4 linked regions of the Lonchura striata genome follow. The protein of the gene in region 1 interacts with the protein of each later gene in a pairwise test. Links are inferred from orthologs where the notes say so. Each region holds a gene or a part of one and is shown in the gene's direction. Other genes may lie near its edges. The genes, in order: PAK5, ATPAF2, PSMF1 and CCNG1.

Evidence for each region.
Region 2: the proteins of PAK5 (region 1) and ATPAF2 interact in binary tests that used the Homo sapiens proteins (3 or more experiments, as listed by UniProt). The two-hybrid records come from large-scale screens. The link is inferred for Lonchura striata from reciprocal best matches to the Homo sapiens genes PAK5 and ATPAF2.
Region 3: the proteins of PAK5 (region 1) and PSMF1 interact in binary tests that used the Homo sapiens proteins (3 or more experiments, as listed by UniProt). The two-hybrid records come from large-scale screens. The link is inferred for Lonchura striata from reciprocal best matches to the Homo sapiens genes PAK5 and PSMF1.
Region 4: the proteins of PAK5 (region 1) and CCNG1 interact in binary tests that used the Homo sapiens proteins (3 or more experiments, as listed by UniProt). The two-hybrid records come from large-scale screens. The link is inferred for Lonchura striata from reciprocal best matches to the Homo sapiens genes PAK5 and CCNG1.

What each region holds. Positions count from the first base shown.
Region 1 is NC_134605.1:23,652,405-23,660,127, forward strand, and holds the start of PAK5 (serine/threonine-protein kinase PAK 5), read left to right. Parts: upstream 1-4,710; 5' UTR 4,711-5,884; coding exon 5,885-6,092; intron 6,093-7,723.
Region 2 is NC_134618.1:15,651,602-15,658,611, reverse strand, and holds the start of ATPAF2 (ATP synthase mitochondrial F1 complex assembly factor 2), read left to right. Parts: upstream 1-4,007; 5' UTR 4,008-4,100; coding exon 4,101-4,230; intron 4,231-5,408; coding exon 5,409-5,453; intron 5,454-5,784; coding exon 5,785-5,930; intron 5,931-6,350; coding exon 6,351-6,448; intron 6,449-7,010. Other genes in the region: GID4 (glucose-induced degradation protein 4 homolog), read right to left, coding at 833-934, 1,571-1,678, 2,385-2,444, 3,541-3,753. UniProt on the Homo sapiens protein: Plays a role in the assembly of the F1 component of the mitochondrial ATP synthase (ATPase).
Region 3 is NC_134619.1:7,399,602-7,406,843, reverse strand, and holds the start of PSMF1 (proteasome inhibitor PI31 subunit), read left to right. Parts: upstream 1-4,231; 5' UTR 4,232-4,266; coding exon 4,267-4,395; intron 4,396-5,441; coding exon 5,442-5,594; intron 5,595-6,121; coding exon 6,122-6,204; intron 6,205-6,798; coding exon 6,799-6,975; intron 6,976-7,242. UniProt on the Homo sapiens protein: Plays an important role in control of proteasome function. Inhibits the hydrolysis of protein and peptide substrates by the 20S proteasome. Also inhibits the activation of the proteasome by the proteasome regulatory proteins PA700 and PA28.
Region 4 is NC_134617.1:12,010,564-12,017,828, forward strand, and holds the start of CCNG1 (cyclin-G1), read left to right. Parts: upstream 1-4,250; 5' UTR 4,251-4,449; intron 4,450-5,010; coding exon 5,011-5,274; intron 5,275-6,290; coding exon 6,291-6,544; intron 6,545-7,136; coding exon 7,137-7,215; intron 7,216-7,265. UniProt on the Homo sapiens protein: May play a role in growth regulation. Is associated with G2/M phase arrest in response to DNA damage. May be an intermediate by which p53 mediates its role as an inhibitor of cellular proliferation.

The sequences.
Region 1 (7,723 bases):
AAACCTCTGTCTCCACGTTGCTATTTATGTGTGCATGTGTATGAGATAATAGAGAGTGACTGACTACAATATATGCATTTAAGCTACTCAGCTGAAAATTACTGAGCATTAAAATCCCCTGGGAATCACAAGACTTCTAAATTAGGAAAGCACGTCAGTCAGTGTGTGGAAATGAGTCTCGTACAAGAGTAGCTTTCAATAAGAAGAATGAGTATTGTTCCTTGGAGTACATCAATCCCAGTTTGGCCACTCTGTACCAGCTTTTACTATTTCTCTGGAAGCATACAGGGGCTTTTGTTATTATTTTTCCTGTCTTTTGTTCCGTTGTGCATTTCTATTAGATATGTCTCATGGGCCAGCTATCAAGAGACACACTGCTGTGCTGTGCCAAATGAAGGCATTTTTAACCATAAACAAGGTATTGTGGGTTGAAAAGAACTGTGGACAATGACAAGTCCTGGACTCTTTGTAATTGTTTAAATGGTTTTTTATTATATTGAGCAGTGACACAGAAACTCTGAGAAACTGGCTGATTTGACCTGAGGTTGAAATGAGCAGAATGCTGCAGGGTAGATGAGGGGCTTTGGGAAAGAGGCATTTTTCTTGGTCTAGGCCATCAGTACATCTCTTTCCATGATTAAGGCATGTATTTTAATAGTGGTTATATTACTTAGAAGTCTGACCCATCTCAAAAAAATACCAGACACCTTGAAAATCCAGATAACTAGTTGAATCCTATTGATCATCAAGCTTTTAATTCTGAAACTTACACAGGCATGCACTGGAAATTATACTTCTATACTTTCACTGAACTGAAAGAATAGTCTGGAAAAACTATGTGGTCACAGGTGATTAATTTCTGTCAGTACATTATTTGTGTGCAGAAGATCTTACCAGAATGGTAAAAGACTCAAAATAGGAGCTGACTTTGTTTGTTCAGGATTTGTAGGTCCTTTTTGTTGCTGCCAGAGGGTCAGTGTTTAAAATCATCATTAGTAGAGTATGTGAGAACATTTTCTAAGGTGTTATTTTATTGTTCCCAAATTGAAATGCTCAAATCATAATGAGGAGCAGAGGGATGAATAGGGATCATGGGACATGGGGTCCCTCATTAGACAGGTGAGCCAACCTAGCATTCGCCTGCACATTGTCTATTCCCATGGCAAAACAAAACAAAACAAAAAAAAAAAAAAAAAAAAAAACAAACCCTTGTAATGAGCTCTCCCTCTAGCTAACAGCAGTAACTTAATAAATAAATACAAGACATGACCACAGGACTCACCTGCCCCTGGTTTGAGGTGCTCCCTGCTTCTTGGGTTCTTCCCATTTTTTTCCATCTTTTTTCCATCCATCCAGAATGACACTATGGGAGTTAGGAAAGCATTTAGGAACACTGTATGTGGAAAGTCAAACAGGATTTCTCCTTTTGTCAGTAGTGAGTCAAACCTGACCTGAAACCAGTGTGGTTTTTAAGAGTCTTTCCATGAACTTTATTGTCTTCTTATTCAGTTCACTCTGCTTTTCCAGGTGTAGCTTCTGGTTTTATCTCCTGAAAAATAAGGTAGTGCCCTCTGTATCTTCAGTTTAAAATAGAGATAAATTCTTCTTAAAACTTAAGCCTGCAGTCAGGGGCATGCTTCAGGTTTTTTTGCAAAAGAAGCTCATGCTCTGATTGCAGCCAGCAGCAGAGGGTCCCTGCCGAGAAGCTCAGAACAATCCTTAAACAGAAAGAAAACACAAAACTGTTGCTGTTCCTTAGTAAAGAAAAAAAAAAACAAAAAATTTTCTAATTTTTAATAGTTTTATTAAGTATAGTAAATATATTAAATGTATATTAGGTGTATAGCTGCACAGATATGTGTTGGTCTCCTTCCACTTGTCTCAGGAAGGAGCAGGAGCTCTCACTGATGTGAGCCAAAGAACCATCATCATTTTCACCTCTCCCATCCAGAGGATCTCTTCAGAGATTTGTGCTGCCATCAGTCCATTGCAGACATTGGCTTTCTCCTGGAGATTGAGTTTCAGCCCAGCTCACATTTGTCTGGAGCGCTGGCTCTGCAGGCTGCCTTGACACACTAATTTAATTTGTGCTTCTCAATTCATACTCTCTCATTTAGGATCAAGTATGAGGAAAGGTTACAATTAATCAGAGCAGGGGAACAGAGCCACCAAAGCTAATGATGTATTTCTGCATTTGGGCTGCTCTGGAGGGGAACAATTGAGGTCCTTGTGGTACAGAAAACTATTATTAGTAAGTAAAAAGTATCAAAAGAAAGCAACCTGCACCCATCTCCCAGTTTTGCAATCTGTGTCTCTGTCAGGTTTCTTAAAAAATAAGCATTTTATTAATGCTCCTGCCTGGAACTGGGTTTTTTGGCTGTGTGGCTCATTTGGGAGAAAATATGCCTTTTCACAGGACCTTTTCACAGCCCTTGCTGCTGCCCCCCGTTTGGGCTCACAGATGATACTCAGCATTCATTAAGGCAATTTTTATATGCTAATAACATGCCCATCCACAAGGAAAAAGAGCTCTGATGCTGCTTGCTTAGCTGAGGAACCATAGGGAATCCCTGCAGAAAATACAGATAATACTTCCTAATAGAAGATGAACTAATTGCTGGTTGTTTAAAAGCAAACATGTTGCTGGGCTGGGGCAGACGGTGAACACAGAGCCCCTCCTGAGGGAATATTTTCAGCCCAGCCTGTGCTGGAGCAGCAGTGAGGTGTGTGTAGGAAATCCTTGCAGGCTTGCCAGGGTGGCTCAGGGTCATGGTGAGCACACAGGATTTTCTGGGGTTAGTAGGACACTTTATCTGGCTCCCAAAATACCACAGTAAAAAATAAAGCTTAAATAGCTATAGCACAGAGTAATTAAAAGTTCCATTTTAAAGTAAAAATTCCCATCTCACTTCATTATTCTAGGTACTGACTTTGTACGGTTACTGTGCGTTTTTATGTGTGGCAGAATTTCAAAGACCTTTACTCGGTTATCTGGGGCCATTTGGGATGGCAAGGGCTGTTGTCACTGCTTAAGGGATGCACTTGGAAGACTGGTAGTTTTCAAGATTACAAGATGTGAAAGTTCTTTCCAACTTTTGTAGTCTTTTTTAAAAGAGCAGCTATTTGGAGGAGGAACAAAAATTTGCTCTGACTTTTTTATTGGGAACAGAAAACAGGGCAGAGTTAAAGAGTTCTCTCTTATTTTGTAGATTAACTGAATTACTCTTAGGATATGATAAAAGATACAAAATACCATTAACCTTAGAATGAAGTAATCCTTTTTTTTCATTTTATTCCTACTGTCTTTGATCTAACTTGCTGTAAATGTGAAAATTTGTTCTTTGAGGGCAGTAACATTCTGGAAAGTCTGGACTTTCAACTTTCAGTTCATCAGTCTTGGAGTGTCCTCTGATGTCACATACAGGAGAGGGACAACTCCTGGAAAAACCCCAGGATGGGACCAAACTTCTAAGAGTGAACAGACCTGTGACCTCTGTGTGAGCTGGCAGGGCTTTAACCTTTTGTGGGAAAGCTCCTGCTGGAAATCCTGTCCTGAGCACAGCCTACCATGGGAAAGTCTGAATGGGCACCCAGAACAGTACTGCCACCCTCTTGCTCCAGTGTGTGGGAGTGGAGGATGCTTCTTGCTGGAAAAACCCCTTCATCTGGAACTGGGAGGCAGCACAATGAGAGTGCAGTAGCTGACTGAGTGGATTTATTTCTAATTTGCTGGGTACATCACACACCTTGCATGGGCATCATCTCAGGAAATTTCCTCTGTGGGCATCTGGTCTGTCTGTGAAAGACATGGGTGAAATTTGGACCTGCCTAGGAGCCCATGGCACTGTGATGTCAGTGAACTATTTCTGTGCACAGAAAGGAGTGCTGTGCAAAGGAGCCAAGTCTGCCATAGACCTAGCAGGCAGGGTGTGCTGATTATCATGTAAGTTGATTTGTTAGGCACCACAGTAAACAGCATTAAGGGCAAAAGCAGTGATTGCTCCTGAGTGTTACCTGGTGCCTGCAGCAGCCAGTGGAGATGTGTTACTCAGCTGTTACTCAGCCTCAGCAGGCACCAGCAGAGCTCTAGCACTGCTCCTTTCCTGGGCAGAAATAAAGATTAAGACAAAACTGAAATTGTAGAAGGGTTTGGGTAACAATATTCATAGCACAATTCCCATATTTCTTCTGTTGTCCCTGTTCCTTTCCCATTCCCTGTGATACATCTGGGACCAGCCTTGCTGTGGGTTACTCAGGAGAGGTACTGAGTACCTCATTAGGTGCTGCAGTAGTCTGATTTTCCCCCCAGTACTGCATTTTCCTCTAGTAAGTGTTATGTCCCTATTTTTCCATCATGGCTTTGGTTCAGAAACTCTGTTATCTGTAACACTTGTGCCACGGCTAGGCTGTGGGTTGAGGAGCCCTTGGCATGGCTGCCTGGAGCTGAACAGGCTCAGCTTCTGGCTCTCCCATTACAGAGCAGACTTGCTTTAGGTGTTGCGCTGTCCTTCTTACTGAGTTCATTGTTTGCTTTCACTGGAGGGCTGCCTCCTCCAGACCTCACATTTACAAGCACAAAATTCACGTGCTGCATCATTTCAGCATAAGAGCAAGTAAAGAATCTGTAGAAATGCCCCAGTGAAGCACTGCAGTGGTGAGTCCTGTTTTCCCCACAAAACCAAGCCCAGTGCCATGAGTAGTAGCTCCCCCAGCCCCCTTGTGTCAAGTGTCACCTTGTGCCATGTGCCACTGGAATCATCCAGACTATCCCTTGGCAAGGCACGTGCAAGGAGAGGACAGACATCCTGGTTGTGCTCATCCCACCAAAATAGCATCAGATTACAAGTACAATACCTCTCATTTCCTCTCCTTCTGTGGGGGTGAGCACAGGAGGATCTGGACAGAGAGGTGGCATTTGCTGAGAGCCCTGGCACAGTCAGGGCCACGTTGGAAGCTGTCAGGAAGAATTAAGTAAAGGGTGAGTGCTCTGGCGTGGGGATGGCTCAAAGGCAGCTCTGCAGAGCTGTCCTGCAGCCTTCCTCCTCCCTGTGCCTCTGATAAAGGCTGCCCTGTTGTCTGGGGGATGTTTTCCCAAATAATCCCATTAGGAAATTAGGGGTTCTTAATAACTGTGAGAGGATTGCTGTTTCCTGTGAATGGGTAGGTGCCTGAATGAATTTCATACATTTTTGTGCTCTTGATACAAATTTCATAAGTTTTCTGCTACACAAACATTATCCAGCATCCTGGAAAGCTCCATCAGTCCTCTTCAAAGCACTTGGGTTATTCCTAAAATGGCTTTAGATATCTTGAAGAACATGTAGTCATTTACCAGGGATGTTTTCTGCTTCCTCGCCTGATTAAACCAGTCCTTTCTTTTTTGTGTCATATTAATAGAGCTGTGGGAAAAACTGAATCATCACTCCATTTTTGAGGTATGAGGACCAAGCACATCAGTGGGGACTGAATCAGGACACTTAGAAGCCCAGAGCATAAGGTTTCACAAACTTGGCTGCCCCAAACCCTCATCCTCAGACAGATGAGGAAAACAGGCAGCATCATTTCCATTCTTTGGGAGAAATGAGGGGAAATGAAGCTTCCTTGTGACTGCTGTGTATGCCATAGCTTTTTGGAGGGACTATGCTGAGGGGAGGTTGGCTTGGACTTGCAGTGAAATGGAGGTAACTTGGTGGCTGGTACTTTGTTGAATGAATGTGCTGTTCATTTTAAAAAGTGGTGTGCACTGTGCCAACTGATGGGCTCTTAGTTACCTGATGTTGTTTGGAGCTCGGGAGGACTTCAAGCATCCAGCAGCTGCCTTGGAATGCAAGTCGTGTGGGAAACCCTGGCATTGATCAGAGGAAAATATTAATGTCTAGAGCTGATGGTTTCAAATGTTACTCCAATAGTCTCATGGATTCCTGTCCCTGAGGCGAATGAAATCAATGCAGTGCCATTGATCTGCAGCTGGATGCCACTGGTGGAACCACTGCCTGACTTGGGACTGCCTCTGTTTGAGCCTGGAACATGGAGAATCTCTGAACAGAGAGCAGCCACCATGGCTTTGGAAGCATGTCTGCAAGTGCCACAAGGTACCCAACAGACCAAAGCAAAATAAAACAATTATGATGCCAGGAAAGGAAAAAATACACATATCAAAGTGATTGTATTGTAGGAGGTTTTTGGAGAGGAAGGGGAGGAAGATACGCAAATTAACAGAGCTGGAGAGAAACTGTCAAAAGAGCAGGAGATTTTGGGAAGTTCAGAGTACGGTAGAAAGCCAGAGAGGTGTGTAGAACATGAGACCTGTGAAGAGAGGCCAACAGGAGCAAGTCTGTTCTGTCTAAAAGAAATACCCACAAAAAAGACAATCACCTACAAATACACGGGGTGGGACTTGATTCAAATAATGGACTTGATCTTTAGATAAACTAGTAAAAGGTAGTGAGGGTGGAATAAATGCCTCATTTATCACCATATCTTTCCTTAGCTGCAGCAGCAGCACAACTGTGTTTTCTTCTCTGAGCTTCTCCTCTGCACCTCCCAAATTAAAGTCAGGAGCAGACTTTAATTAGAGAAGCACTTCTACAGCTGTGATAGAAGAGCACTGGCAGCCTCCTCACCCTGCTGCTATTTCAGATCCTGCTCAAGTGCTTAGCTAGCCTGCTTGAAATGGCCCAGAGAGCAGGGTGGAGGAGTATTGTGAAACGGCAGAAAGTAGGCAGAGAATGTTTCCAGGACAGGACAGGATGTCACTGAAAAGCAGCAGGACCTCTGCCTGTTTCCCTGGGACCAGGAGTTTATCTTTGCCTTGCACAGCAGATTTCTGGAGTCCTCCAGAAAGTCAGTTCTGAACTTGCTTCAATAGAATTGTTAGGCTGCACTTCATTTTAAGGTGGGACCCACCAACCCAAATATTAATGCAGGTAGAGTATTGGCTATTTCCTTTGCCAGTAGAATGAGCAAGTACCTTTATCCCTCTCAGTTTGTAGCTTGTGCCTCCTTCCAATGAAACTTCTCTTGCCCCAGCTAATCTATTATCCTAGGTTCCCTTGTGTGCTCTGAAAACCTCCTGCTGCCTCCTCAGGAACTAAACAGACAGGAGGAAAGCAAATCAACTCAGTCTTATCAGGAAATAACAATCAAAATTTACTAAAAAGTTCACTTTCTGCAGAGCAGGGACTGTAGCAATTAGCTTTAGCACGCCAACCCAGGTGGATCCAGTGACAGAGAAGCTGGGAAGGTCACATTTCCTCCAGCTCCTTGCTTCTATAGGATTGGAAGGACTCCTGTCTCTTCTCCACACCACCTGCACAGGAACTAGAAGAGCTGATGCTCCTTCCTGGACCTTCAAAGGCATAGGGCTATGATGTGATGAATCCTGCCCAAGCCTGCTGGCCAGCAGCCAGGGACCTCTGCCCATCTGGGCCTGAACCCAGGTGCTTTGGGCATGTGGCTCTCACGGCAAATCCTTTCTCTCCTCAAGAAGTCAGGCCATGATATTTGTAATAGCTGATACCTGATGCTTTTTTTAAGCAGGACCCTTCACAAATGCAGAGGAAGGCCCTTGGCCCAGGTTGGAATTAGATCTGAGCTCTCTGTTTTCATTGCTGAAATGGCACAGGAATAATTCCCCTTGGAGTGCTGCTGTGAGAGACCTAGACCTGACATGGCAGAGCCAGGCTTTTGTCTGGGATGGGTTGTCTTTGCTGGGATGTAAAGC
Region 2 (7,010 bases), on another chromosome or scaffold:
CCGCCACTGCAGGGACCTCACAGGGAAGCAGAAAACTGAGAACAGAATGAGTTTTGAGAGTGCAAGAGATCAGTTTCAACACCTGTCCCCTGCAAGCCAGAAGCCCATTGCAAAACTCGGAGTCAGAGCCTGAGAATGAAGAGAAGGCTCCAGGGAGTTCTCACTGCAGCTTTTCAACACCTATGGGAGCTTATGGGAGAACTGGAGGGAAACTTTCCAGCCAAGGACATGGAGTGACAGGAAGAGAGGGAAAGGCTACCCACTGCCAGAGGGCAGGGTTAGATGGGATATTGGAAAAGACATTTTTCCCTGTGAAGGTGGGGAGGCCCTGGCACACAGTACCCAGAAAAACTGTGGGTACCCCATGATCCCTGGAACTGTCCAAGGAAAGGACTTGGAGCAACCTGGGATAATGGGATGTGTCCCTGCCATAGGCAGGAGGATGGAACAAGATGAGCTTTAAGGTTCCTTCCAACCCAAAGCAGTCTATGGTGACTCTGTGATGATCTCAGCTGAAGAATGGAGCTGCAGACTGGCCAGAACATCAAACACAGGCCCCACACAGGGACTGGAGGCATCAATTCTCTCATCCTCTGCAGGATCACCAAGCAAGATTTTCCTGTTGTGTTTTTAGCCATGACTGCAGTCCTTAAGGACACAATTAGCTGGCTAGACAAGAGTCATACTGGAACTTGCAAGTACAGTGGGTTTTGGGGTTGGCAGGGTGAGATCTTCTATTAAACCATCATAGCTGGAAAAGCTCTGAGACATCTCAAGTTTCTGTCAGTGCCTTGCAAGCAGCTCAGCAGAGAAGGAGACAGGCAGGGTTTACCTTCCATCTCATGAAGACATAGTCCCCATTTTTTAGATCTTCATAATCAAAGTCATCAGAGTTAAATGTTTTTGCATACTGGTAAAAAGCTTGGAACTTTCCCTGAAACAAAACAAACAACAACAAAAAAACAGCTCAGGATGTTTATTCCAGGAATAGAACTTCTAGTACCAGCTGCTGTTTAGGAGGGAAATCTACTGACACTCACAGCAATATCCAGCCTGGCTGAAGAAGCTCCTGTACTTCCAGAGGAGGATATTTTGACAGAAATACAACAAACATCAAAGCTTGGCAAACAACAGCCAAGGTCAAGGGCGGGGGGGTGATCAGGTGGGCTGCTGTGGCCTCACAACACAGCAACAGGTACACCCTGCCCTGAGCAGGGACACAGGTACCAACTACTCTGCCTGTGCTTGTGGGATCCCTTTCCCCTTTTCCATTCCATTTTGTAATAAATCTCCAAAACTAATTACTGTGTTCTCTTAGGGGATCAAGAGACAGGGATTGCTCCTGCTTCCTCCCAACCCCGAGGCAAACAAGTAGAAAACAAAACATCCCTTCCCTCATCACAGATCACAGTTTGCTGAAGAGACCTTTATAAATAAAGATCCCAGGGGAAAAGGAAGGAGACAGCAAAAAGGTCTCCAGGCCTTTCTGCCAGCTCTTGCATGGGCACACACTGCCCCTCTCCCCCAGACCAGCAGCCCAGAGCCACCCTGTGCCCCCAGATTTATTTACCCAGTGTTTACGATCCACGTCTTCGTCGGCATCCCACTTGCGCGTTAGGAACGGGTGTTTCTTACTGATTATCTCGCCCTCGAAGAACGTGGTGAGGGTTGGGTACTCCTGGCAGAGGGGAGACAAAGGTGGGGTCACAATAGTCACCTACAGGCACAAACTCAAGAGCAGACAAAGCTCCATGCACTCAGCAAAAAGCATCTCGCAGGGAGATTGGGCCATCTGAGGCTGCTGCTCCCATCCCTCATCCTGCCCCACACCTCTCCAAGCTGACTCTTCCACGCTCTTATTCCAGCCTTTCTCTGCCTCTCTCTTCATTTTATGAAGCCAGGAGCCACATCAGAGCTGGGCTGCAGGGAAGGATTTGGAACATAAGCAGCTGAGGGGGCTGCGAGGTGGGGGTCATGCTCTGCTCCCAGGGAACAAGGGACAGGACAAGAAGAAATGTCCTTAAATTGCACTAAGGGAGGTTTAGATTGGATATTAAAAACAATTTAAAAGAGTGGTTAAACATTGGAACAGGCTGCCCAGGGAAGTGGTGGACCTGGCTGGGTCCTGGGTCAGTGGTTGGACTCAATGATTTCAGAGGGCTTTTCCAACTGTAAATGATTCCATGGAGCTCCCAGCTGGATGATCACCTGTGGCATTTACAGCCAGCACCACTCCCCAGCTGATCCCCTTTGATCAAATCTACACCATGCTCACACCCTCCGCTTCCTATTTCTGGCAGCAGCTTCTCTCACTCCACCAGGAAAAAAAAAAAAAAAAGCCTTCACAGAGCCCCTTTTTGTGCTGTTTTGCAGTTAACACTCACCTCTGTAAGGCCTTTAATCTTCAAGTATCCACAGAGATAGGAGTTTTCCATATCCACATGCTGGAAAAGAGTGCAAAGTCCAACCATAAAAATAGGCATGAAGGTGCATGCTTGACCCAAAGCAGTTTCTAACCCTTCCAAAGATAATTTCAGCTCCAGCTGGTACCCACTGCCCAATATTCACAGCCCTTTTCCATGATGGGAACCACCTGGAAAGATCATTTGCAGGTGCCCAGCTCACCTCTGGCAGCCTCCACATCCCAGGCCTGCTCCCAAGAACTCTGCAGCAGGAAGCAAATCCCCTTTCCAGCAGGAAGGGATCTGATTCACAGTATTCTCCAAGAAAAAGCATCCCTGGAAGAATCACCCACACCCCCGGCATTTTACAAGCCTTTCTCCTAAATTTAAAGCTTTTATGCCACCTGCATTTTGAGTTATCAGGCTGCATCTCTCTGCCTGTGCTGTGCAGAAATTAGGCAAGGATTTGCCTGCTCCTTTAAAAGCAGGGATTTTCCAAGGGGTTTTTTCTTTTCTCTGAGATCTAGAGTGAGTTATTCAGGGAAGTACAAACCTCCACCCGTGAGAAGATGGATCTTCTCCACCTGTGATCAAAGGACAGCAACGTTTCCCCGTGCTCAGCACAGGGAGAGCAGGCAGCCCCCTTCTCTTCAGCTGACACATGCAAATCAGCCACGTTTTCGACAAAAAAAGCAGCGTTTTTAAACACAAAACCACAACCAGCCCCTGCGAGGTGGCAGCGTGCAGCAGGGCACAAATCCCACCAGAAACGTGGAGAAATGACCATAAAAAGCTTAGAATCATCACAGAACCACTGAGGTCGGAAAAGAGCTGAGCTCATCCCGTGACTGATTCACCAGCACTAAGTGCCACGTCCAGTCTTTCCTCCAACACCTCCAGGGATGGTGATTCCACCACATCATTAAGTAGGATATTCTGATGTTTAGAGTGATATTTTCTGCGACAAATTCCTTCTAATATAGAGGGGTAGGGTGATGCGGGTGCTGTCACAAGGGGCTGGCAGGGTGGGAATGGCCACCGCGACCTGAGGCGAGCCGGGGTTCCCCCGTCTCGCCTCAGGCCGCGGTGGCCATTCCCACCCTGCCAAAACCAGGCTCGCCACGCCGTTCCCCCTCACCTGCATGACGACCTCCACCTCGTAAGCGTTGCCTTTGCTGCGCTGCTGCCCGCGGAACTTGGCCCCGCTGTAAAGAAGCGAAGTGGCCACTCCAGGCTGCGCCGTGTTGATGGGGGGTGGCGGTACTAAGCTGCTGGCGGCCGCTCCGGTAGCAGGGGAGGAGGATGAACCTCCCGCCCCTCCACTGCGGTGCCTCTCGCTCCGAACCGGCATCTCGGGAGGGTCCCCGGGCGCCAGCGTGGCCGGGGCCGGGGTTGCGGCCGGGGGGACGCCGCCCGCTCCGCTCCGCTCCCTCACGCCGCCGCCGCCGCCGGGTCGGGGCCTCCTGGCAGCGCCTCGGCGCGCGTGCCTGAGGGGCGTCCCTTAGCTCTGATTGGCTGCTGGCAACGACGCTCGGGCGTTGATTGGTTGCGGTGCCACCCGGCGCTGCTGGGAAATGTAGTTTCTTTTTAAATGGAGGCGGCGCGGATTGGTTGCGGCCGGCGGCAAGATGGCGGCGCCCAGGGAGCGGCGCTGAGCGCGGTGCGGACGGGGTGGTCGTGGTGGTGTCGTCTGGCGCGATGTGGCGCGGCTGTCGCCGGCTGTGGTGGGCTCGTTCCCAGCCCGCTCGGCTCCCCAGAACTCCTCCTGCAGATGCTGGGAGCGGCCCGGTGGGGTCATGTGGGCGCCGGGCCTATGCCCCGCCGACAGGTGAGGGAGCCGCGTTTGGGGAGGGGGATCCTCCCCCGGGGACCCTCATGCCGGGGTCACCCAGGGCAGGGCGGGGATTAGCACGGCCCCGGTGCTGGAGTTGTCCCCGGCGCCCTTTCCCTGGTGTTAGCCTGTCCTTGGAGCGGGCAGGGTTCGCTGGCAGCACGGCCGAGCCCTCGCTGAACCAGTTTGTTACACTTGTTTTTGTGTTTTGTTGGGTTTTAGGGATTTTGAGGGAATGGGACTCAGACCAGGGGGTTCAGGTATGTTCTGGCTCACGTATCCCATCACGTGGGTTTAAAAACAATAAAATTAATCTCATTTTGTCGGAGGTGAGGCTGCAGCGTCGCGGTGACTCATGACAAAGTTTTGGGAGTCACTGATGAGCCTCGGGGCTCCTCTGGGGTACACACACTTTAATCTGTTTTTAGAACTGTGCCTGAGGCCCCAAAGCTCACAGGTCGCCGAGCCTGAGCAAATCCTTCTATTTCCTCAGTGGGAATGTGCTGGTTTTAGCCTGGAATAGCAGACCCGCGGCCTGGCCTGTTTGCTGTGTCCTTCACCAGACAGGTTTATGGGTTTGGGATTTACAGCCTGCTTGCTGTTGTCAGGGGAATGGCTCGTGGATTCTTCCTGCCTTGTGGGAGGGGTGTGAGCCTTTGGGATGGGTGTAATCCTGCTCTCACGGCGGTAGGAGTGCTGGTAGCAAAGGATGCTGCTCCTAAAATGAGACCTGAAGTTTCCTCAGGCTCATCTTGTTGGTGGAACAGGTATATTCCTGAGCTGGACTGAGATGTTTGGGCTGCAGTGTCCTTTGAGGGTTAATTTATCCAGTGTAACTGTAATTGTAGAATCTGGAAAGGTTGACCCTGAAGCAGAACTGAGGAGAGGTGGGACAGGCCTGCTTGGGAAACCAGCCCTGCCACACTCTGAGGCAGCTGAGCCCCCAGCCTGGCAGGATTGGAGCTGGTTCTCGTTGCTCCTGGTGCCTCCCTGCTGAGGGGAGCTCACTGCAGCTCACAGCTTGGAAACTGTGGAAGAAGGGCTGGATTTTTGTTACCACGTCGACAGCAGCAAAGCTCTGTCTGTTCTGAGCTGTGATGGGGAGCAGGGGAAGGCATTGAACATTCTCTGTTTGCCCTCTGAATGTTCTCTTTGCCTTCTGTTTCTGTCCCTAGAGAGGAAGAGGTTCTACCAGAACGTGAGCATCTCGCAGGGGGAAGGTGAGTATGGCCGATGGGATGGGATGGGGGAGCTGATCCCTAGGAGAGGTGTCATCACCCCACCCCACATCAGCACCTGCAGCCCAAGCTGTGTCAGTGGCAGGTTTGTCACCAGCTGCTGTGCCCCCTCCTCATCTACAGCAAAGCTGCATGGTGGGAACCAGCTTCCAGGACCAAGTGTATCCAAGTGATGGTGGGAAACCTGAGTGTTCCTGGTCTCTTGCTCCTCTCAGCTCTATAACTTTGAATCTGCTCCTCCTGTGGGGTTGTCTGTTGTTCCTTAGTGCCTGCTCCTCTTTGATTCCCCAGGATTTCTACTCTGATTCCCCAGGAGGCTTTGAAATAAACCTGGACCACCGAAAGCTGAAAACGCCCCAGGCCAAACTCTTCACTGTCCCCAGCGAGGCCTTGGCCATTGCAGTGGCAACAGAGTGGGATTCCCAGAAAGACACCATCAAGTTCTACACAATGCACCTGGTGAGCATGGCAGGGTGGAGTGCTGAGACCTCCAAATGCAGAATGTGGAGGCAGCAGGTTGTCCTGCTCCTAATGAGCAGAAAGGACTTTCTCTGGGCTGGCCAGGTGCCTGTCTAGAGGGAATCTGTGTCACTTAGGGGAACTTGAGAAGGGGCTGGACAGTGTTATTTGGAATAGTTAGGGGCAGGAGGAAACTGAGCTCTGGAGCAATCCTTGGCCCCTCTTCCCTGCTGCTTAATAAGCTGCTTCCAGGGATTCTGAAAGATTTGAGAAGACACTTATTACATTAGCCATTTTGTAACCCTGCACCCCTCAGATCATTTGCCACAGATCCCTCTGCTTCTTCTTGGCATTGTACCATGGAAGTTGCTGCTTTTTCAAGCCTGGAATAACAGCAGTTTCAACTGCTTTTATCCCCAGACCACTCTGTGCAACACGGCGCTGGACAATCCCACGCAGCGAAACAAAACGCAGCTGATCCGAGCAGCTGTGAAGTTCCTGGAGACAGACACAGTCTGGTAACGAGATGGGGACCCAGCTGGATTTTGGAAAGAGGGTTGGGTAAAGTGAGGGAAGACATCTGCACTCACCCAGTCATGGCATGGCTCTGTGCTGGTTTTTGCCTGAGGGTTTGAATGTGCAAACCTGGTTGCAGTCTGTGCACCCAAAGAAGGAGAATTGGATTTGGTCCTCTGTTGAACTCCGTTTTGGACACCTCCCTGCTGGGCAAGGGTGAGATCAGTGGGAAATGAAGATCTTGGAGAAAAGAAAACACCTTTGAAAGGCTTGTGGGGCTCTGTCAGCCAGTCCCTGGTATTCCTGTGCCAGTACAGATAGCTGAGACTACTTGTAGCAGTCCCAAAATGCCCTTCATTCCTTAAAGTCCCCATGAGCTGTAGCATCAAGCCTGTTCATGCCCAGGCTCCTCCACTGGCAGCTGCACAGTTCCTGTGGAGAGAGGAACAGGCTTCCCCCACCTGCCCCTGTGGCTTTGGTCAGACTGGGTGAGCAGGGAATGCTGAGCTGAGCCACTGGGCAAGGAGAAGCAGGAGTGGCCCCACAGAGAGTTGCAGTGGGGTT
Region 3 (7,242 bases), on another chromosome or scaffold:
GACACGTCTCTCCATACTCGGAGCAGGGAGCAGCGCTGCATCCCGGCTTTGCTGCTGGGGCTCAGGCAGTGAGCAGAGGCCAAGCCCGTGTGGGCAGTGCAGACAGGCAGCCCGTGGGCAGGGCGCTGCCCGTCTGGGGCTGGGACACCCCGGCAGCCAGCTTGGGACACCCCGGCAGCCAGCTGCTCCTGCTTTGATGTGGGGTCCCTCAGGCTCCGCACAATGCAGACTGGGGCAGGATGAAGCAAGGGTGATTGATTGTCTTGTTTTGTTCCTCCAAGGCTGTCCTGGACAGCTTGGATTCACAGCTGAGATCCCCCAAGAGCAGGGGCTGGCAGTGTCCACCCAGGCTGCAGGGATGGGGTTGGTGGGGTGCAGGCTCTGGCTGGAGGCAGTGGACTGGTCGTCTGAACCCTCTGTGCCTCAGTTTCCCCATCATCACTGCCCTCTTGGAAGCTCTTTGTGTCTCTGGATGAAATACATTCCCTGAGACTGTCCTCCATTACTTTCAGGTGTGCTGGGCATCCCAGGAATTCAGGTTGACAACGGGACCAGAGGAGTCCCACCAAAAGTAAAGCTCATTAGGATTTGAGCATGTTGACCTTCGAAAAATGGAGTTTAGCTCCATCCAGTTGATGAGTCACGACTCTGTTTGTGCGATGCACTCCCTGCAAGCAAGGTTTCCACCGCAGAACTAACAGGCTTTTCTGGAAAGCACAGGGGTTCTGGGTTTCCTAATTATTTTCAAACCCTACTGGCAGCCTCTCTCTGACAGGGATCACGCCTGCTCAAAGCGCAGCACTCAGGCATGTTTAGAGTCCTGAAGCACTAACTGACTTTAGCTCGGCCTCGCTGCTGAGCGCCGGCTCTCGCAGCCCCAGTCCCTCCTCCTGCCCGAGTCTGCCTGCATGTGGTTTGCATTTCTTCCCCAGAGAAAAAACCCCTTTCTCCTGCCTCAGTGTCATCTTTCCCTGGAATTGAATTTAGAAGAAATGAAGGGGAGGCCGAATTTTCATCGAGTGACTACCTCCTTTCAAGGCAATGATGGCAGTGAGGGGAAAAGTCCATTCCAGGAACCCCTGCCCCGGTCCACAGCCCTTGGCACTGGTGATTTTAGTCACAATCAGGTGGTTCCTTGTGAGCCAATAAGCCCTGAGGCACTGAGCAGATTGTGGAGGAGCTACTCCAATGCTGCTGGCTTCTCCTGCTATGCAGCAGGGGATCCCATCTTTCCTTCCTACTGTGTGATAGGAAACTGCTGCCTGCATGGAGCAGGACAGAGATTCTGGTAGAAAACATGGCAGTGCCATCCATCACCTCACCCTGCTCACCCTGGGTGATGGGGGGCTTTCCCATCCATGGGAGGGAAGCAGAAGCCTGCAATACCTGAACATCAGCCTGGGATTATCCACAGCCCCTCTCTGCCTTCTCCTGTGAGACTCTGGGTCATACCCAGCATGCATAACACAGCACAGCACAGCACAGGGGTGAGCCAGCTGCCCTGGCCGTGCTGGCAGCCATTCCCAGCACAGAGGGCTCATGGGCTGCCAGCGGGGTGGGTGGTTGGGAAATCTGTTTCCTCTTCTGCTCGTTACAACACCACAGTGGGCGCATGCAATGGGAGCAGTGAGGCAGTGGGAAAGTATGAAGGTCAGGGGAGATTGCGGTTCGTGTGATGGAAGTGACCCCGGCTGATGTAGCCTTGTACCTGCTCCAAACACCGCCGTCCGGCTGGGATAGCTCCAGCTACTGCCTCCCCTGGGACATCACCCCTAGCCATGCTCTGTCAGGGAGCAGATCCCCACAGATCATGTTCCTGGGTGAAAGAGGGAGGAAAATGGCCAAGGGTGGCTTACTTGGTGCAAGAGCTGGGTGTGAATTGGCATGAACATGTGCGAGGTATCAGGGCACTGGCTGCTCTGAGAGTTTTGCTCAGTTCTCACAGCATCGCTCCTGCTCCCAGCTAGGCTCCAGCAGTCCCTAAAAGGACATGGCTGCTCTGATGATGGCACCAGCGTGCCCGGCAGCCACCCTGACGCACTCGCCTTGTGCCGGCTCTGCAATCCTCATCACCTCCTGAGTGACTTGGCTGTTGATTCCAGCCAGGCCGGGCTCTCCGTACCTCCCACACAGTTCACAGGCCCCTAACTCACATTAGGGGGCTGCTTTCATGTGGCCAGTGGTTTTCATCATCATTAAGCCATGGAGTGAATGAAGCACGGGAGCAGAGGAAGGAGACAACAGGGAGTCAGGCAATGTGGGCCAGCTTGGCACCGTGGGTGCTGGAATAACGACTTTGATGTAGTGGCAGTCAGCCCTGGGGCCATGGGCTCAGGTATGGTAGGGCCCTGGCTCCCAGGAGGGTCCTGAGGTGAGGGGATGCATGGAAGCATCCTGCTTTCCTCACTGCTGTGCCCATGGAGAGGCTGATCAGGCCAAGGGAGACTTAGCACCAAAAGTCACTTTCCAAGAATGGTCCGGGGCAGCTGACACAACACAGTGTGGGAAAATAAATCAAGGATGGACATGGAGGTGAGGCCACAGGAGGACAAGCTGAGGGCTGGATGGGAGCAGGTAGTGAGGGGTGAGAGGGTGGGGAACGGATGGTGGGTAAACAGGGATGGCAGAAATTTGGATGGGAAATGGAAAGCTCAGCAAGCACGCAGCAGAGCTTTGGTGTGATCCTGCTAAGACACTGACAGCTTCTGAGGCCACCAATCCTAAATACCCTTTTGATCCTGCACCTGCAGGAACCTTGGCAACAGCTCTACAGGAGCATAGGGTGAGTCCAATAGCAGCAGTGAGATACAGGATTCCAGATCGTTTCTGGAGGGAGATCTGTGATTTCAAACTCTGCCTCAGAACTGGGCATTTAAATGGAGCCACTGGTAGCTCCTGGCCCACCCAGGGCCAGGCTGGGAAAGTGAAATGTGGATGTCATCAAAGCCTGAAACCGCGGCTGCTGCCCAGGAGTGAGCTGATCCATGGAGTGGAAATGCTGCTGCTGCTCTGAATCACATCTGAGTGATGGAGAAGCTCTGGCTGAGGCATTTCCTGCTGTTCCCAGCTCATCCCCATCCGATGCCTCTCTCATGGAGCTCCTGTGCTGCAATCCCGGCCCTGTGGAAAATCCACAGCAGCTTTCCTGATGAGTCCAGCTGTCTTCCCTGAAGAAAGGAGGGCCAAAGTATGGCAGGAGGTGTGGTATCTCCTGGTAGTGATTCCCATGGGACCTGCCGGGCTGTGGTCGGTTGTTCAGCCTCAGTGACTTCTTGAAGGGGAAATGGAAAGAGAGAGCAGTGCAAGTTAATTAATTGACGCATAATGAAGTCAAGATGAGCATCCCCCAAGGAGCTGAAGCTCAGATTAGGAAAGCAGCAGATGATGGTGTTTGCTGGCTTTGTCCCGAGCCCCAGCCTCCTGCCAGCCATGCTGAGGACACTGGCTCTGGCCCAGGGGCAAGGCAAAAAAAGCCCCTGAATGCCTTTTAATGGCAACTTTAATAGAATTTAGGTGTTATAAGCATTGTGGCCCAGACAAGGAGTTATGGAAGGGATGAAATAAACCCATCAATGGCTGTTTGGTGCTTTGATCCCTTTGGTGTCAGCATGACAGCTTGCTATGGCAGAACAAGCAGACCCTGCATGGACTGGACTCAAATGCTTTTCTGACGACAAGAAAGAGCCAGGAGCAGGGAAGGAGGCTCAGAGTGATTAACCAGGACGGTGCTGGATGGTGCTGGGCAGACACCCTTCACAGGATCACGGAATCCTTTAGGTTGGAAAACCCCGCTTAGATCGAGTCCAACTATTGCCCCAGCACAACCAAGACCACCACTAACCCTTCTGGCGAATAAATTTTCCCTAATATGCAAAGTAAACCTCTGCTGGTACAACGCGGGGCCGTTTCCACTTGTGTCCCTGAGCACGATAAGAGCCTGACCCCCAATGGCTGCACCCTCCTGTCAGGGCGCTGTGAGGGTGAGAAGGTCCCCCTGAGCCTCCTTTCCTCCACGCTGAGTCCCCTCAGCTCCCTCAGCCTCTCTGGTGCTCAACCCCTTCCCGAGCTCCATTCCTTTCTCTGGACATGCTCCAGCCCCTCAACGTCCTTCTTGTCCGGGGTGGCTCTGAACCGACCGCAGGCCTCGCAGCGCCGTACAGCGCAGAACGCCAAGGCCGCTCCGCGCGGCGCGGGCCCGGCGCGGCGGACGGGAGCCCTCTAGCGAGGGGCGGTGCGGGCCCGGCTCCGCCCCGGCCCGGAGCAGCCATGGCCGGCCTGGAGCCGCTCTACGCCTGGGCAAGGCCCGCCATCTCCCGTCCGCAGGACGCTCTGGTCTGCGGCATCCACTGGGAGCTGATTCGGCAAGGCTACCGCTGCCTGGGTACCGGAGACCAGGTACGGGCCGAGCCGCGCTGCGCCGCCGCGGAGGCCTGGTAGGCCGCGGTGAAGCCTCGGTCTTTCCTAGCGCCGCTCGCCGGCGCCGTGCGACCGCTGCCTGGGCATGGGGAGCCGGGCGGCGCCGGCGGTGGTGGAGGCACCCGGGCCGGCGCGGTGGCCTCAGGGCCTCAGTACTGCTGTGGAAGTCAGAGCGGGCGGCTGCGGGGCTCGGGGTATCCCGGTGCTGTAGGGGGGTCTCGCTTTTGGGAAAATGGGGGTGCTGAGAACATCCCGGTACTGGGGGCACCGAGGGTCCTGATGTTGCGGGGTGGTCGGGGGGATGTCGCAGGATAGGAGATCCTGATGCTGGTGCGATCAGTATAACTCCGGGAAGAGAGTTATTATAGTGCTAAGTGGAGCATGGTGGTGAAGCAGAACTCTGTAAGAAAAGGGAGGTGTCCAGTTCAGTGCTGAGGAGGAAATGTACTGGGGCAATACCAGAGGTGGGGCAGTCTACTTGTGGACCCAGTGTTAAGACGGGGGTCTAGTGAATTTGGATCCTGATGAGTGTCGGGAGAATGCCTGATGTGGTGTTGGGGGGTAATGGGGGGTGCAGGGCACTGTCACAGCAGAGGACTCTCCTCAGTACCACAGGAGGTGACTGTGTAGGGCACAACCCCCCAGAAGCAGTGTTGTGGGGCTGGGACAAACATGATGACAGCCTTCCCCCGTGCCCCAGACAGTTCTTTATCATGCTGAGGAAGTGCAAGGTGTGTGACAGGGAAGAGCATTGTCTCCTATGTGGGTGTTTGTGACCGCTTCCTGCTTGTTGTGTCCTCCTCTTCCAGCGCAGGGATGCTGTGGGAGGCTGGCAAGCAGGCAGGGCCAGTCTCTAGGAAATACCTGCTTGTACTGTCAAAACCTGGAAGGCATTTAGGGATCCCCTCCCAAAAACCTCAATTCCCTCCTGGATCTCCCTGTGCAGCCAAGACAAGACCCCCAGCCCTAGGAGGTCATGCTGGGCTCCTGGGCAGGGTCTCGGCAGCCTGTCTGTTCCATTGCAGCCAGGTCCTGATGAGAGGAAGTCAGAGCTGTTGCCTGCTGGCTGGGAAGCCAACAAGGAGGTGTACACACTGCGCTACAAGTCCATGGATGATGCCCATGAGCTGCTGCTGAAGGCCATCATGGTGGAGGACAGTATGATCCTCAATGTCATGGTGAGCACCCAGTGGTCCCTGTGGATGTGGGGTCCTTTGGCTGAAAAGAACATCGGGGCAATTTCTTAAATTCTTTTGCTTGTTGTGCCTGGAAGTGGTGTTTGTCCCTCAGGATAGGGCAGACCCAGGGGGTGTTTTTGGGTTAGATGTGGCCCAGCATGAAGCTGGTCAAACCCTGGCTGTGTCAGGGCAGTGGGACAATTGTCCTTGAACAGTCCAGTGCAGGAGATTCCCTGTTTCTGTCCCTTTCCCAGCTCAGGACTTCTCTGCAGCCTCCAACAAGCAGCTGCTCCAAGTAGTTTTGCTCAGTGTTCCACCCTTTGCAGCCTGAGCTGGGGAGAGGGAGCAGGGAAAATCTTGTACAGTGAGGTTTGTTCTTGGGGATTCAGGCATGGCACAGGGACATGGTGGGAAGCAGGTGAGCCCTGTTCCTTGTATCCCAAGACTGGGGCTGTTTTTGTAGCTTCTCTGTCCCTCATTCCCAGATCTACCAGGCTGCTCACTCTGCTTTATGTGCATTTTTCCAGGATCGCAGCTCTCAGAAGGTCGCAGATGTGACCTTGGCAGTGGCCGACTACATCAACCCAGAGCACCTGGACGATTTCCACAAGTAATTTCAATTTCCTGGTATTTTCTGCAAGAGCAGAATTCTACTGGCATGGAGAGGGAGGTAGAAATCCCCCCTGGGGGAGCTGGAGGATTTACTCCTCAGTTCAAAACCAGGCCAGTCCTGAAATGCAGCCAGAACTCTGTTCCCTGCCTTTCTCTGCACTGGCACGGGAGATATAGAGGACAATGGGATCGTGGGTGTGACCCAAGAGGAGAGACACCCCACCTGGGATCAGGCCAGGCCAGCACAATTATTTCCAGAGCACTGTGCTGGGTGGACACTGCCCAGGAATGTGACAGCTTCAGCCACATCCACAGTGTCATGTGCTTTCCTCCAGTGCAGGCCGGTTGGGTTGGAGCAGAAGGGAGTGGCTGGGTGGCACCTTGCCCATCTGAAATGGGGTAAAGGCTTTGGTGCACTTGTGTGCTGTTACCCCTTCCTGTCCCCTCTGTGCTGCCAGTGGGGGACTTGTTTTGTGCTAGGGACACTTTGGGCTTGTCTGTCCCCTCCCTGAGCCTGTTGCAGCCTGTCCAGCACCCCATGTCCTGGTGCCATGACCACCCCACCCCACTGCCTTCCCTCTCCTTGCTGCAGGGTGTACAAGAACACCGAGGAGCTGAGGACAAGAATCACTTCAGGCATCATTGCTCCCCTCGGGGCCCCTGCAGGAAAGGCCAGAAAGGAGCCTGAGTCCAAAGAGGATGTGCCCTGGGATGAGAACCCGCTCCGGCTCCCTCCCCGGCAGCCGATGGGAACAAGGGCCCCATCCAGGTGAGGAAAGTGTGTGGCTGCTGAGAGCCTCCTGTTAGAGGGGATGTGGTCCTGGCACAGATCCCCAAACTACACATCAGGTCCCCATCTTGCACATGTGGGATGGGGAGTGAAAAGGATCCAGACCTTCCCCAGCTGGATCAGCCTGGACATTTGAGTTTGATTTGGTTGTTGGAGAGGGATGGGCTGTTCTGGAGCTGTGTGTTGGACTGACAGGCCCAGTAGGGAACAGGCAGGGGCTGGGGCTGGGAGGTGAGGTGTGGGGCG
Region 4 (7,265 bases), on another chromosome or scaffold:
AACATTTCCTTTGCAATATATAATTTTGAATTTTAATTTAGATAACTCAGACTATTTACTGGCAACATAAATATCCATATTCATGACATCTGATTTGCTATAATCTTTATTTCTGATGTGCTGCATCTGTGAATACTTGAAGCACTTGAGTTTGCATTCATGGGCAATTATATGGGAATGTCATCCAATAGCAACAGATTGATTTACAGTTTAGACTTCATAGCATCAAAAGACAATTCATTTTCCCTCAGATGAGCTGTGGCATGAGACCTGGGATTGATGCTTCCACTCTCATTTTTTTAACAAATTACTTTTTCTTGTCTAATAGACTGTCAAATCAAGGGCATTATAATGAGGGTCAAACCAGTGCCTTTTAGATGCATTCTCTCAGTGCATCTCACTACTTTGCAAAGGTCAGAGGAAGAAAGGGAAATGGACAGCAAGTAGAAACTTAAATTTCATCCAAGTGTTTTGGAGGGGAAAGAGGCACAGGTATGGTATTTGGTCATTTCACCTTCACACCCCAGGACTCCCTCATTCTGACTTCCACTGAGCCGTCCAGAAATCCAAGCTCTTGTTATGAAAAACACATTTTTCTTAAAATTCTCTGCATCTCTAACTTCTAGTCTTGCCTGTCGGAAGTTATTCTGAAGTAGAAAGGTTCTTTCAATAAAACAAATTTTAGTTAATTTCACAGGTGATAGGAAGAATCAAACAAACCCACAATAAATCTGTGGCAAGTACAATAGGAGAAAGTAGTATGAATATCATGTTTAATGGATATATTGAGTAAATAAAGTGATAAAGCTCATGGATGCATCAAACAGTCCCTCTCTTACAGTTCTTCAAAGGAAAGAGCACAACAGCAGAGGCTTCCCAGAGACCTGCTCTCTCATCATCCCCTCCTTAGGTGACAACAGAAAAATGAGTATTGGTAAGGACAGCCATTAACACAGGGAGGATGAGCCAAGTGCTTTTAACATTGCCTAATTCAAAGCAGCTCAGACGTTCCTTTGGTGGCTTCTCATTCTTGTGAAAACACACACAATGTCCTTACCATCTTTTTTTTAACAGATAAAACCCCACACATATGAACATCTTTTACTGAACAAAAATACCTTATAGCTGATCTTCATTAGCAACGTTTCTCCAAGGCATACAGAGATAATGAAAACAACTGCAGTTTCCCATAGTTATAAAACAAACACCTGGGAGCAAATCCAGCACACTGCTCATTTCAGGCAGAGGGGACCAGAATTTATTCACACCAGTCACAGTTGTCCCACCACTTAAAGTGCAACTCAACCTTCCTCTGTTTCAAAGGGAGGCATAAAGCACTTGAGAAACCAAACTTAGGGCAAGTGAAAAACAAACATGCTCAAAAGCAGAGTATGTAGAGACAAAAATCCAACTTTCAGGCTACACAGGATGACTTGGCTTGTGCACTTAGGTGTGACCATCAATAGTGCTAGCAAAAGGTGGTGCCAAAAATGCTTGCTAAAAGTGAAATAAATCACTCAACCTTTCTTTCAGGAAGATTTTCCAACATCAAATAAGCTGACAGACTTTACTGAAAAAAAAAAGTATTCTTCTCAGGATAATTATCACCTAGGCTTTATTGCAAACTCAGTCTACCTAAGATAATTTCTAAAAAACCATAAAATCCACTTGGATTTGAACTCTTTCTTGCCCTCTTGAGATGCAGAGCACCTCTTCCCATCAGCAAGATGTGTATATGTTCAAAATCTGCATCGGTACTGATAAAACCAGTTTAGAGCTATATATCACTTCATGTATTAGTGACATATACCAATATGTATTTTCTTTGAAGAGGGAAAATAATCAAATACAGCTAAGAGGTCTGCCTTACTAAAAACCTTGCTTTTCAGAAAAGGTTAGTTCATTCCTCAGGAGAATTTTCAGCCTTTCAAGCAATTGACAGTAACTTTCACAAAGCATCTTGAAAATTTTAGGCTGAAGTAGAAATAACACTTCAACACTTTTAAGAAAAAACTAAAGTACCTTGAACCCATTTGAAATACCATCATAATGGTTTGCAAAATGGATTCTTCAGCCATTGTTCAGTATTTTTAAGGAACTGGTAATCACTTTGGATAAAGTAGCACATAATGGAACACATTGAATAAATAAATGTCTTGGGCATCAAGCATGCCCAAACCAAAAGCGCTTTACAGTACGCAGTTCTCTTTACTTGCCTAGAGTCAGTTCAGGAGTGGAGCATTTACAGCTCCTGGAAGAGTTCTCACTGCTGGTTTGAGTGTTGGATGTGTCACAGAAGGATTTTCTCTGGACTCCCGGGCTATGTGTGGATGAAAAGATTTCTGTTGCACATCCTGGCTAGAATAAAGCAATGCCCTGATTCTCTAACACTAGAGAATCACCAAGTGTTGTTGGAGGGTTTTTGTTTTTCCCGCAGGTGACAATCTCACCTTCTATGAATATGTTATTTGGGCTGGAAAGCATTAAAGACATGAACCCTTTAATGTCTTGTACTGCAGAGGTTTCAGTCATGCAGGAGGTGAGAGCAGTAGAGGACCTAACCCCACCAGCCTTCAGCCCTGGGGGACAGCATCTGCCCTGGCCTGGAAAGCCAGCCAGGAGCCACCCCAGGGCTTGGGAGCCATTTATGCTTTAAGAGCCATTTGTACTGATGCCTTATCAAGACTGACAAAGCCTAGAACAGAGGCTAGACAAAGTTAAAGAATAAAGTAGGGATTTATTAAAAGGCCTCAATGGATCCACCTTGAGTAGCACAAGAGCCCAGCCACGGCTACACTCATGATGAACCCAAATGGTCACAAAAAAATGGACAACTGGTCATGACGTCTCTCATTTTATAAGTACTGGTCCATTTCCATATTGGAGCTAATTGTCCAATTATAGCTTTAGGTTATGAAGTCCCATCCTTCTTGTTTTTATCTCTTCAGTTCACGTTGTTGTCCATGCTCTTGGGCCTGAGATCTGGGTGGCCATCACTGGTCCCAAGCTAGCGAAGGAATTGTCTACCTACTCCCATGAAAAAAACTTACCAACACTTAATATGAAGCTCAGAACTGCACACTCAAGAAGCACAAAACCTGAAAAACACAAAAGTTAAAACCTAAGGCACTGATACCAGGGCTGGGTGCATGCTTGGGGAGCTCCCATTGACCCAACGAGTGAGACCATCACAGCGGCCTGGTCCGGGCCGGTCTGGGCCAGTCCCTCAGTGGCCGGGCCAGTCCCTCATTGCCGGGCCGGTCCCTCATTGTCCGGCCGGTCCCTCATTGCCCGGCCGGTCCCTCATTGCCCGGCCGGTCCCTCATTGCCCGGCCGGTCTCTCAATGCCCATCCGGTCCCTCATTGCCCGGCCGGTCTCTCAATGCCCATCCGGTCCCTCATTGCCCGGCCGGTCCCTCATTGCCCGGCCGGTCCCCCGTTGCCCGGCCGGTCTCTCATTGCCCGGCCGGTCCCCCATTGCCCGGCCGGTCTCTCATTGCCCGGCCGGTCCCCCATTGCCCGGCCGGTCCCTCGGTGCCCGGCCGGTCCCCCGTTGCCCGGCCGGTCCCTCGGTGCCCGGCCGGTCCCTCGTTGCCCGGCCGGTCCCTCATTGCCCGGCCGGTCCCTCGTTGCCCGGCCGGTCCCTCAATGCCCATCCGGTCTCTCATCGCCCGGCCGGTCCCCCATTGCCCGGCCGGTCCCCCATTGCCCGGCCGGTCCCTCGTTGCCCGGCCGGTCCCTCATTGCCCGGCCGGTCTCTCAATGCCCATCCGGTCCCTCATTGCCCGGCCGGTCCCTCGTTGCCGGGCCGGTCCCTCATTGCCCATCCGGTCCCTCGTTGCCCGGCCGGTCTCTCATTGCCCGGCCGGTCCCTCATTGCCCGGCCGGTCTCTCGGTGCCCGGCCGGTCCCCCATCGCCCGGCCGGTCCCTCGGTGCCCGGCCGGTCCCTCATCGCATTGCCCGGCCGGTCCCTCATTGCCCGGCCGGTCTCTCATTGCCCGGCCGGTCCCTCATTGCCCGGCCGGTCTCTCGGTGCCCGGCCGGTCCCTCATTGCCCGGCCGGTCCCTCATTGCCCGGCCGGTCCCTCAGTGCCCGGCCGGTCCCCCGCTGCCCGGCCGGTCCCTCGGTGCCGGGGCCGCCGCTCCGGCCGGGGGGCTCGGGGAGCGCGCGCGCGCGCCCGCCGCAGGCGGGGCCGGCTGGGGGGGCGGGGCCCGGCGCGGCGGGGCCGCCAGAGGGCGCCACTGCGCGGGCGGGGCGGCGGCTCGGGGTGCGCGGCTGTGCCCGGCAGTGACCGCCCGGCCCCGCCGCGGACACTGCGGGCACCCCGGACACTGCGGGCACTGCGGGCACTGCGGGCACTCCGGACACTGCGGGCACTCCGGGCCCGCTCCGGCCCCTCCGGCCCGCCCAGCCCCTCCCGGGCAGGGAGCGGGGTCGCACAGACAAGGTAAGGGCGCGCGGCCGGCTCCCGTCCCGCCGGCTGCGCGTTTGGCGTCCCCGTGCCGTGTCCGTCCCGTCCCTTCCGTGGGGTGAGCGTTGTCCCTCTGTCCGTCCATCCCCCGGCGGAGCGCGCAGGTCGCTCGTCCTCCGGCAGAGCCCCGCGGCAGCGAGGGGCAGGCCCGGGCATGTCCCGGGAGGCGCCGCCCGCCGCGGGGCCGCGGTGCCCCGGGGGTGCCCCGGGGATGCCCTGGGTGCCCCGGGGGTGCCCTGGGTGCCCCGGGGATGCCCCGGGGGTGCCCTGGGTGCCCCGGGGGTGCCCTGGACGCCCCGGGGGTGCCCCGGGGATGCCCTGGTTGCCCCGGGGGTGCCCTGGGTGCCCCGGGGATGCCCTGGGTGCCGTGGGGGTGCCCTGGGTGCCCCGGGGATGCCCTGGACGCCCCGGGGATGCCCTGGGTGCCCCGGGCGCTCCGTGCCTGTGCCCGGCTGCCGCGTCCTGGCCGCACAGTCTGGGAGCTTGGGTGGCTTTGCCGCGTTCTGGTTGTCTGGCTGACGCTGTTTCTCGCGGCAGATGATCGATACCCTGGCGAGCGGCGCGGCTCGGGACCCGGCGCTGGAGCTGCCCGCGATGCTGGAGCAGGAGCTGCGGGCTCAGCCCCGCGCCGCCGGCCTCCGGCTGCTCGAGGCTGCCCACGACAATGGCCTGCGAATGACCGCACGGCTGCGGGACTTCGAGGTGAAAGATCTCCTCAGCTTAACTCAGTTCTTTGGCTTCCACACTGAGACCTTCTCGCTAGCTGTGAATTTCTTAGATAGGTTTTTGTCGAAAATGAAGGTAAGGCATTTTAAAGTATACGCTCAGCCTAGTTCCTAGTCGAAGCTAGAATGTCTTGGGTTTAGATAAAGGTTAAGTTGCTTCCAGACATTCTTGATTGTGCGGAGCTAAAAAATTGTGTTCTCCGTTCAATTTTTGATATTGTTAAGAAAGGTGTTTTCTGTAGAGAAGGAGAAACTAAAGGATGTCGATGGGATGGGAAACAGGAGGTGTTAATAGCTTAGACCAAGAAAGATTGCCTCTCCTGTTGCATAGATACAAAAACATGTTAAATTACTTCTCATTTAACTGCCTTTTCAACCCTATCAGTCAGCATTGTGTATATCAAAATGCTGTTGAAAACTTAAAATCTGGTCAAACATTAGCGCTGCATTCTCCCGTGCGGATGTGACATGCTGACCTGAGTTGTTTTAAGTTGTCTTAACAAGACAGGATTACCGCTGTACAGTTTGGACAAGAACAAAAGCTTGTTTTCCTTGTGTGTGCAAACAAAAATGGGAAAGCTAGATGGAATGGATGGGAAAATGATGATTTAAAAGACTTGTGAATCCAGATGAAGCAGAAAAAATCAGGACTACATTGTCTATGGAATAAAATAAGACCATTTATATATACATGTATGTGTGTGTATATATACTTACAATAGAGTTAGAAACCCCCAATTTTTTACTATCACCCCTAATATCTACAACACTTTAAGTCCTAAAAGCTTCATATTAGGCTATTTTAGAACCTTATTAACAAGTCAATTCTGCCTCAATCAAAATTGCTCTGCAGTCTTGCTTTTTAGATGAATGAGATGCAATTTATGGTATGTAACTGTTTTTCCATTTGCTTAAACAAAGATAATAATGTACAATAAAAGACTAAGTTTTCAATCTCCAAAAAACAAAACAACCCCTCATCCCCCATAATTATTTGATGAAATAGATTGGTGCTTACAGTTAGATACTTGCATGTTGTAATAGCTGATCAGAGGCTTTCTTCTTTGAAAATAACAATTCACTTTTCTTTAGGTACAGCCTAAACACTTGGGCTGCGTTGGACTCAGCTGCTTCTACTTGGCTGTGAAGGCATCAGAAGAAGAGAGAAACGTGCCCTTAGCCACTGACTTAATTCGAATAAGCCAGTATAGGTTCACTGTTTCTGATATGATGAGAATGGAGAAAATCATATTGGAGAAATTGTGTTGGAAAGTCAAAGCTGTAACCACCTTCCAGTTTCTACAGCTCTATCATTCATTCATTCATGAGAATTTAAGCTGTGAAAGGTACAATAGCTGATCCTGATTTTGCTATAACTGCCTAAGACCAGAAAATACAGAATGTAGAAAAGTAAGCAGAGAAATTTCTTGGGTAATTAGCCTTTCTATACTTTAAAAGTCCCACAAACTTTCTCCCCTACTGGTAATAGTCATAAATGTGAGCATCTGTGATTTTATATTATTGAAATTTTAAATATTGCTTGCCTAAATGGAATATTGCTTCTCTGAGTTGAAAACCAAACTTGCTCAATAATGATGGTATAATAAATCTCTGCTTATGCTGTAGTGAAGTATTGCCTCATTGTAAAGATTGCAAAATCTGGTTTAGAAAAGATTCCTTTTGCTAGTAAGGACTGAAACTCCTTGTTAAGCCTGCTTTGGTAATGCAACTCTTCCCCAGTGTAACACAAGATTTATTTTTGGCATTGGGACTGCCAAGACTGAACACCTGTTTGAATGTAACCCCAGAAGTTCTGGGGCAAATGAAGACTTTGTTTAGATAATGAACATTCTTGCTACTTCTCTTGAGTTTCCCAGAGTGATGCTCCCTTGATCAACCTTTCATTCCTCTAGATTAACTCATCTGTTTTTATTACAGGAGAAAATACCTTAATTTTGAGAGACTTGAGACCCAGCTTAAGGCCTGTCACTGCAGAATCATGTTTTCTAAAGCCAAGGTAAACATCTTAAAAATTCAAAGAAAATTAAACAGCTGAAACTGAACAAA